2 linked regions of the Coturnix japonica genome follow. The protein of the gene in region 1 interacts with the protein of each later gene in a pairwise test. Links are inferred from orthologs where the notes say so. Each region holds a gene or a part of one and is shown on either strand. Other genes may lie near its edges. The genes, in order: RAB11FIP2 and RAB11B.

Evidence for each region.
Region 2: the proteins of RAB11FIP2 (region 1) and RAB11B interact in binary tests that used the Homo sapiens proteins (3 or more experiments, as listed by UniProt). The link is inferred for Coturnix japonica from reciprocal best matches to the Homo sapiens genes RAB11FIP2 and RAB11B.

The regions. Positions count from the first base shown.
Region 1 is NC_029521.1:26,290,684-26,294,496, forward strand, and holds part of RAB11FIP2 (rab11 family-interacting protein 2), read right to left. Parts: intron 2,801-3,813; coding exon 2,358-2,800; intron 1,665-2,357; coding exon 1,202-1,664; intron 1-1,201. UniProt on the Homo sapiens protein: A Rab11 effector binding preferentially phosphatidylinositol 3,4,5-trisphosphate (PtdInsP3) and phosphatidic acid (PA) and acting in the regulation of the transport of vesicles from the endosomal recycling compartment (ERC) to the plasma membrane.
Region 2 is NC_029543.1:321,894-326,478, forward strand, and holds the start of RAB11B (ras-related protein Rab-11B), read right to left. Parts: upstream 2,935-4,585; 5' UTR 2,920-2,934; coding exon 2,705-2,919; intron 2,422-2,704; coding exon 2,228-2,421; intron 1,835-2,227; coding exon 1,754-1,834; intron 1-1,753. UniProt on the Homo sapiens protein: The small GTPases Rab are key regulators of intracellular membrane trafficking, from the formation of transport vesicles to their fusion with membranes.

The sequences.
Region 1 (3,813 bases):
GTGATGAGCTTTTTAATTACAAAACAAAGAAAAAACAAGTCCATCGTGATCGTTGTTTAAGATTTATATTTATCAAGATCTGTTGCATTCAAGAACTTCAAAAGATTTCACTACTGATATCTAGCATCTGCCCGAACACATTTTTTCATTTTAAAAAAATATTAAATGCTATGTAATTTTAATTGTTATTTAAATTAGTTCTGCTTAAAGGAGATTATTTAAATGAAAGTTTAACTTCTGACAAAGCAAGCTACATCCTAACCTCACTTTAATCTAGAGAAATCCTTTATTAAATAAATAATATTCTCAGACTCTGGCTGAAAATACTTTATTTAAGACAGTAGAATTGGCTTGACTTGTAGGAGGCAATAAGAAGATGAGTCACTGAAGTCTGTACGAGCTTGTAGACAACTAATCTTTTCTACAGTTGGTCCATTTCAGTTTACTAAATCCACAACCAAGATTAGTTTTGTTGAGAAAGTGATTTGAAGATTTAAACAGAAGTGTATATATATATATATATATATATATACACATATATATATATGTTAATTTAAGGAAAACATGTAAATTGTTGATAAGCAAACAAAGATTAAAATAAATAATTTTAATCAAAGTTTCTTATTAACTCCTGTAACTCAAGTCATTTTGTTTAGCATATAAACTGCTGCCTGGTATATAGCCTTGAATACACATGAACTCAGGAAAGCTACAGTGAGGCAAATGATTCCAGGCAGGATAAGGGCCAGGCAGATGCTCTCATTTAGAAACAGAATGGTCTCTAGTTCTTGTGCTTCAATATATAGAATCTACGCCCATTCTTTCCAAAGCATTTGCTTTCATTGCTCAAACCTTTCATTTATTCTGTTCCATCATACTCTAACAATTAAAACTTCACCCTTTAAAACCTTGCCTTGGACTGAAGGTAGTTCATTGCTAGCTATTACACAAGGTTTTCCGCATATGCAAACCCAAGAGTCACAGTAATAATACATTTACTAATATAAATGTAACTTCTAAATAAAATATAGAATGAAAAGGTTAAATTACATTAAAGGTTCATAAATGTTACTTAGCAACAACAAAAATCGTTAAATTCTTATTGATAGTTTGGAAAACAAAGACTACACCCCTCAACTCTTCAGACTTTGATTTATATAACATGTTCAAGATAGCAAATCAAAATGCAGCCAAAACCTACCTTGAAGATGGCAAGATGCTTGTAGGCTTGAAGCTTGTCATGAACGGATTAGTTGACTCATAATCAAAACTCTCCTGATGAGTTTCACCAAACGCACTCGGTGATTTCAAGTCAGTGGAGCTCTCTGATCCCCCATTGCTAAGTTTATCTGACCTCCTGCTATCTTTTTTGCCAGTCACTCTTTCAAAAAGACTAACTTTCTCTTTTTTCTCTTTTCTAATTTCCTTTTTGATTTCAACAGGTTTGGAAAACAGACTTATGTTTTGATCCCACGTTGCTGGGCTTTCTTCAAATGGATTCTTCTGTCTTGGCAGTGTAGCGAATTTTTGGGGTAATGAAGCACTCACGTTGGTAAATGGGTCATTTTGTGCTTCCAGCGCAGTTTCATCAGCTGTGCTGTCCAATTGGTTCATTTTAGAAGTATCAATACTTAATGTCCTCCTATGCGGAGATTTTACACTCCCTGCAAACAATCTGCCATTAGTACATTATCAATGAGATGCTACAGCATAGCTTATAACACACAGAGAAACCATTTTAGCTTTGGTATGGAAGGTCTGAAAGCGAGTTTTAGCCTGAAGCACCCTTGACTAACAAATCTACATTTAAAATATCAACAGCTCTGGCATTGTCTTCATGATATTGATGTGTTTAAAGAATAAACTACAGCCTTTTTTTCTTTTTAATTTTCTGCATAAGAACTAAGTTCTAGAAGGAATACAGCTGTAGCTAGTGTGGCATTCCAGAAAGTGACAGTAATCTATTGCCTAAAAACTTTGAGTGATGCAAAGCACTTTCACTCATTTGTATAAATTAGGTTTAAAACTTCGGTGATAGTTCTTAACTTTTTAAAAAGACATTCTTCACACTATATCACTTTGCCTTGAATTCGGCTTGAATGCAATGTTTCATTACAACACACTCCCCAAATGAGGACATGAGGAAAAATAAAAAATATAATACATTATGATCAATGTAAGTTATTTCTTACTCTCTTAATGGCATTTATGTTACTTCCAACTAGTGGAAGAGACAAAATAGGCCAGCAATAATTCATTATTTTTTGGCCTTATAACTGCTTCATAAAGAAACAGACTTCTGTATGCTCTAGAAGTGGGGAATTATAATTGTAACGTTCATGATAGAGTTCACTTACCTCCTTCATCAACTGAACCAAAAGATTCTAGCTGACGCTTGAAAAGATGAGAGTAGCCACCTGTGCTGGCTTTTAATTTTTCTGAGGAGACGTGTGATCCTGTTAAATCTGACATCGAATGAGCTGAAGATAGCCTCTGGGGTCCCAAAAGGAAAGGTTTTTTTGGTTTTGATTTCATTTGTACTTCACCACTACACACCTCTACGTTTGCATCAGGTATGTGAGTACTTGGAATGATTGCAGATGATGTATCTGAAAATGTCCCATCATTTTTTCGACCCTTCATTTTGTCTTTCAGTTTAGCAAAAGGGGATTTGGTTTTGTCCTTCATTGACAAATCGAACATACTTGCTGTCATGTTATTCCTCATAAACTGAATATTGACCTTTATTTCTCCTCTGTCTTTGGTTCTTTTTCCTTGTCTGGACTCTAGGGGAAACCACCTTAAATGAGAAAAAGAGCAAGTTAAGTTGTTTTCTTTGGAGGCCTGCAATTAAAATCTAGTTAGTCGATTAAAGTCTTGCTATATAATTAAAAATATGAAAGCCAAATTCCATACTGAAAATCAAAATATTCCCAATATTGAAAAACTTTTTGGTCCACACTTGGTTTTGAAAGAGGATACATGCAATAACTAGAAAGCAGGAAACTCTCTGCTCTGTTCAATTCAAGAATCCAAGTCAACTCAATGGAAGCATATTAAGCTTCACTGAAGCTAAGGGGATCGCATCTGCTTACAAAGAATTTGTATCTAATATTTATTACACAAACAAAAAAGGAAATATCCAAAACCTTGGAATGATTTACACTCAAACATCATTTTGGTTTTGCAGCTGCAACCTCAGTCACAAACACCAGTGGTAGAACAGCATCAGTGTATCCGACACTGCCCTTTGCTGCAGGTAACCAGTAGGATTTACTTCATCACACCTCCACAGGCTCTGCAAACATGATCCAAACCTCCAACTGATGAGGTCACTTGTTTCAAAAAGATATGTGTTTTCTCAGTTTCAACAAAGACATTATCGTTAACCAGATGTCTGACTACTTGCCCACCTTGCTCTTCTGTCTACTGGACTCACCAGTAGAATTAAGACTCAGTCCCTCCTCCACAGCCTTACCTAAGTGAATGACCGACCTACTCCCCACTCATCATCAGTAGTTTCTTCCTATTTCAAAAGGGGCACGAGGGCACACTTCCAATTTTCCAGTTGCACAGAAGTGCTCTAAACACATCTGTATATATTCTCATTGCTGTTCTTTCTCCTTTTGGAGGACATGAGAGCTTTTCTTATACTTCTTCTCACACATGAAAAATATTAAATGATTTAATTGGTTGGCATCATTAAGGAAAAGAAATAACACTACTTCTCAACCTTCCTGAAGAGGTTTGGGGAGGGGAAGACAAGTCATCCAAAGGACAAGTTCTTCCACCTGCCTCGAGGTGATGCTGAAT
Region 2 (4,585 bases), on another chromosome or scaffold:
GGCACAGGAAGGTGTTCCCTGCAACACAGCACGCGCTCACCTCGGAGCGAGCTGCCAGGAGAGGGAAGATTCAAGCTGTGAAAGGGAACCAGCTGTGCAGTGTAACGTCTGGGTGGCTTTCCAGCTCTGCCTGGAAGACCTAAAGGTTTCACCCTTCAGCTCCCGGTGAGCCGTCCCTACTGAAGTACAGGACCACCCGCTCCTCTCCGTTACAAATCAGTTTCCCCATCCGTGGCAGTAAAAATGAGGTTCCACGCAGCCCCACATTGATCTGCAAATGCCATCCCCGACAGAATTCATTTCATTGACTCCAAATAACTCATGCCTGAAAGCACAGATTCACCCCAGCTGTTAAAGGCAGCGTCCAGGTTAGAAGCTTTCAGAAGGAAACCATTCCACCTGCAGCGCCAGTAGAAATAAGTGGAAATATTTCTATTGCGCTGACTGTAGGACCTCATTCCAACTTCCCTCCATTGTGAGACAGGAAAAGGGCAAGCACCTCCCTGGAAGCCTGCAGTAAATATTATGGTCACATTCAAGCAGTCACAGCCGCAGGACAGGAACAGCCAAAGCCTTTAACAAGGGTTTTAAATGGTGGGGAATTGTAGGGTTTGGGCTCTTTGGTTTTTTTGTTTTGATGGAGCTCCAGTTCTGGCTCCATCTGTTACACAGGCAGCACTGAACTCTCCTAGAAAAACCTCTGGCCATTTTCTGTACCCAGAGTCAGGCTCAGAACAACACAACGAGGGAAGACAGGATGGATGGTGATGGCTGAGCCACGCTCAGGGCACTAAATCCACCGATACCATCTCAGAGCAGCACACGAGTCACCTCAGATCCAGCCAAGTGTCACAGATAAGCAGCACCTGCTCTCAAGGCCACCCTGCACAAGAGCTCAGGCTGCAGCTGCTCTTCTCTACAGCTCTGTCTCAGCAGCAGTATTCTCCAGTTACTTCTCCAGCAGCTCAACCCAAATCTTGCTGGGGAGCAGAACGTAACCCACTCTTCATCCATCAGGCTTTTTTACTCATAGAAGCAGCTTGACTACCCTTTTTTTTCCTCCTGCCCACCTCCTCTTGGTCATCTTTAACTGTAACACACCTCTGTGCTCACAGAGCTGCTCAGACCGACACCACAGCTCCTGCCTGTTTACCTCCACACTCTGCAAAACAAACCTGAAAGAGCCTTCAAGAATTCACCAGGTCAAAACTCAGCCATTTCCCCAGTAATAGGCTCTCATTCACATATAATCAAGGCACAGCAATAATAACCAGTTCTCTGGTCAGCGTCCAACAAGCAGCATACATCAGACACTTCCTGACAACCGAGCAGTACCAGAACAAAGGCTCATTCTCATTTAAGTTAAATCAGCATCTTGTCACCAAAAAACAAAAAATGCTCAGGAAATGCCCTTCTGGAGACGTGGTGGGACGTGTACATCAGGCACAGCTCCACAGAACAGTGCATGAGGGTGAGAATACAGAAATAGTTTATCCTCCCAGAATTCAGCTATTGAACCATAAAACTCAGGTAATGGGCCCACATCACTCTCAAGGAAAGAGAAAGTTCCCCATGCGTGTGGGTGGGGAAAAAGGTGCATGGGGTGGGGGTAAAACAGAGGTAAGGGGAGGCAGACTGCAGACATATAATCATTCCCAACACTCATTTCCAAAACAGTCTCAATAACTGCAAACTGTGCCCATGAAGAAGATTCACTATGTGGTAGGTCCACAGAACCCATAACAAACCATACCTGTAAGGATGTTCTTGAAGGCTTCTTCTACATTTGTGGAATCCAGAGCAGAAGTTTCAATAAAGGACAGGTTATTTTTTTCTGTAATAAATAACAAGTGGTTCAGTTAGGAACTCTATGCTCTCCATAGAACCAGGCCTCTAGGAATGAAGGACAGACACTCTGCATTGTGATATTTGACACTATATGAGGTATTTTCTCCTCTGAACATTTCCTGCTGTTTTTCAGCCTTCCCAGAGGAACTGTTTATGCTTCAGGTATCGGGCAGCTCAAGGATGCTGTTTTACAAACATGTGCTACCAACAGATTCAACAAGAAAAAACACCATCCACTATTTAACAAGCCAGCTACGAAACCTCCAATTCCCCTTTTTTTTCCCACATAATAATAAGCACAAGGCAAAAGTTAAATACTGGACAGTAGAGTGACCAGCACACTGAACTTGAGAAGCACCTGAAGGCCCCACATACCGACCTGCAAAAGCACGGGCCTCATCAGTGGGCACAGCCCTCAGGTGGCGCAGGTCGCTCTTATTGCCCACCAGCATGATGACGATGTTGTTGTCTGCGTGATCCCTCAGCTCCTTCAGCCAGCGCTCCACGTTCTCATAGGTGAGATGTTTGGCAATGTCATAGACAAGAAGGGCCCCCACAGCACCACGGTAATACCTGGGAGAACACAAAGGCACATTCCTTTAGAAAGGTCCAACAAACCCATTCAGAAAGCTGCGCTGATGCAAGTACTGCAGTTCTGTATGCTTTGTGTAATAACCATCCCCCAGAAATGAGTTCCAAATTCCAAATACTAATCAAATAGCATGATATTGTTACCTGATTACCTGGATCTACAGCAAGACCTGCCACAAGGATTCTGTCCCATCCAAATGCATTTCATTCAGTCCTTACCCGGAGATGTATCTGCCATAGTCCCAAAGAAAGACACGGTACTCACGCTGAAGTAATGGCACGGTATCTCTCCTGCCCTGCAGTATCCCAGATCTGTGCCTTTATCGTCTTCCCATCCACTTGGATGCTCCTGGTAGCAAACTCCACCCCGATGGTGCTCTTGCTCTCCAGGTTGAACTCATTGCGGGTGAAGCGGGACAGCAGGTTGCTCTTCCCCACTCCGGAGTCCCCAATCAGCACCACTGAAAGACAGGACATCATTTACCAGATGAACTCCCCACAGCAGCACTGTGCTGCCTGGCTGCTGCGCTGCTTCAGGCAGGGCCCACAGTAACAAGGGCGACGAGCTGCCCCTTGCATGCCCAGCCTTCTGTGGGATTTACTGCAGTTATTCCAGCCATCACCGTGCTCCCCACAGGAAGACATCTGATACTACAAACAAGCCAGAAAACAAAGCAGGACTTCACCCAACAGAACGAGTTCCAGTGGATTAGATGAGAAGTAGAAGACTGAAACTCTGCCTCCGCACAAGGTGTTGCCATGCTAACAGGAAAACATCAGTGCTCAGAGATTTCTAGGCCCTCCCGATCCATGCACAGCAGATTAGAGAACACCTCTCCCTGCACGCTTTCTGAATTAGCTCACCAGCATTCTCCCATGGCCACGAACTGGGCTGGTCCCTCTGTTATTTCAGCTTTGCTTTATTTTGTGCTCAGGCCATTGTTTCAGGCTCCAGCTTTGGCAGCTCCCACCCCGCTTCTCCCCACCCAGGACAGCTGGAGCCAGCTCCACGCAGTGCTCTGCCCTCCTAATGAACACACAGCTCGAGAAAGCACAGCTGCCTCTCCAGGTTGTACTCGTGTCTGTCCTCTGGCCTGTGAAGATGACCAGTTTCATGCATGAACTCTGCAAAAAGACCCTGGGTCATTAATCCATTGGCTGCAGGAAGAGAATTCAGGCGGTCCTGCTGCACTTTGCTAATTACCCCCTGTAATCCAGGTACCTTCAGTGCCTTCAGCTGCTCCATGCTCTGGCAGAGCATTTCTGAGATGTTACTGAATGCAGAAGTAATAAAGGCAGGCAACCTGATCCAAACTCAGCAACAAGTTCGTGCTCTCTCTACCTTACAATCAGCCTCTTGCTGCTCTCAATCAACTGTCAGGACTTTCTCTTTTAGCAGGGAGATCCAAAGACTGGAGACCCACGTACCTCTATGGGCACAGAGCAGGAAGATGCCTTTAAGCTTCTGGACCAAAGCAATCAGATACTGTGGAAATTCCTCAGTTTGGGAACGGGTTACTCAACAATACAGCCTGTTCAAATGCAGATGGAAAAAGAAAGCCCCAAACCAAAAGCAAGAGCCCAAATCCATACTACATCCATCAGAATACATGAAATCACACCCCTTCCACGGCCTTCGATCCCACTAATAAAGGCAAGGAACACTTGGAAATGACCCGAACCAACAAGTCAGCATCAGGTGGAGCAGTGCAGCACAAGGCACGTGCCATGTCCAGCCTACAGCCAGAATTCAGGGCTGCTCCTTCAGCCCCCCCTGCTTCCAGCTCTGCCCCGTGCCCATCAGTGCACACCACGCTGCCCATCCAACAACTGCAAAGCACTGCAGATCTGGTAACACAAGACCAGGTTTATGGTGGAATTTTAAACAGACCGGTTAATTATCTGTCAAAAGGAGTCTATTCCTTCACACAATGAAGAGGATTAAGCCTCTTCCCAGCACAGCTCATCATAAATATTCAGTACATGAGGTTGCCAGATATTGATGAACAATATGACAAACATTTGTTTCCAATAACCAAACGCCCCATCGGGCTTCAGCTCTGATTGGCGCGCTCTGATTTTCCACAAACATAAAAGAAAGCTCTTATTCTTCCCCCCATGGCCGCTTTTATCCTTTTCACCCCCA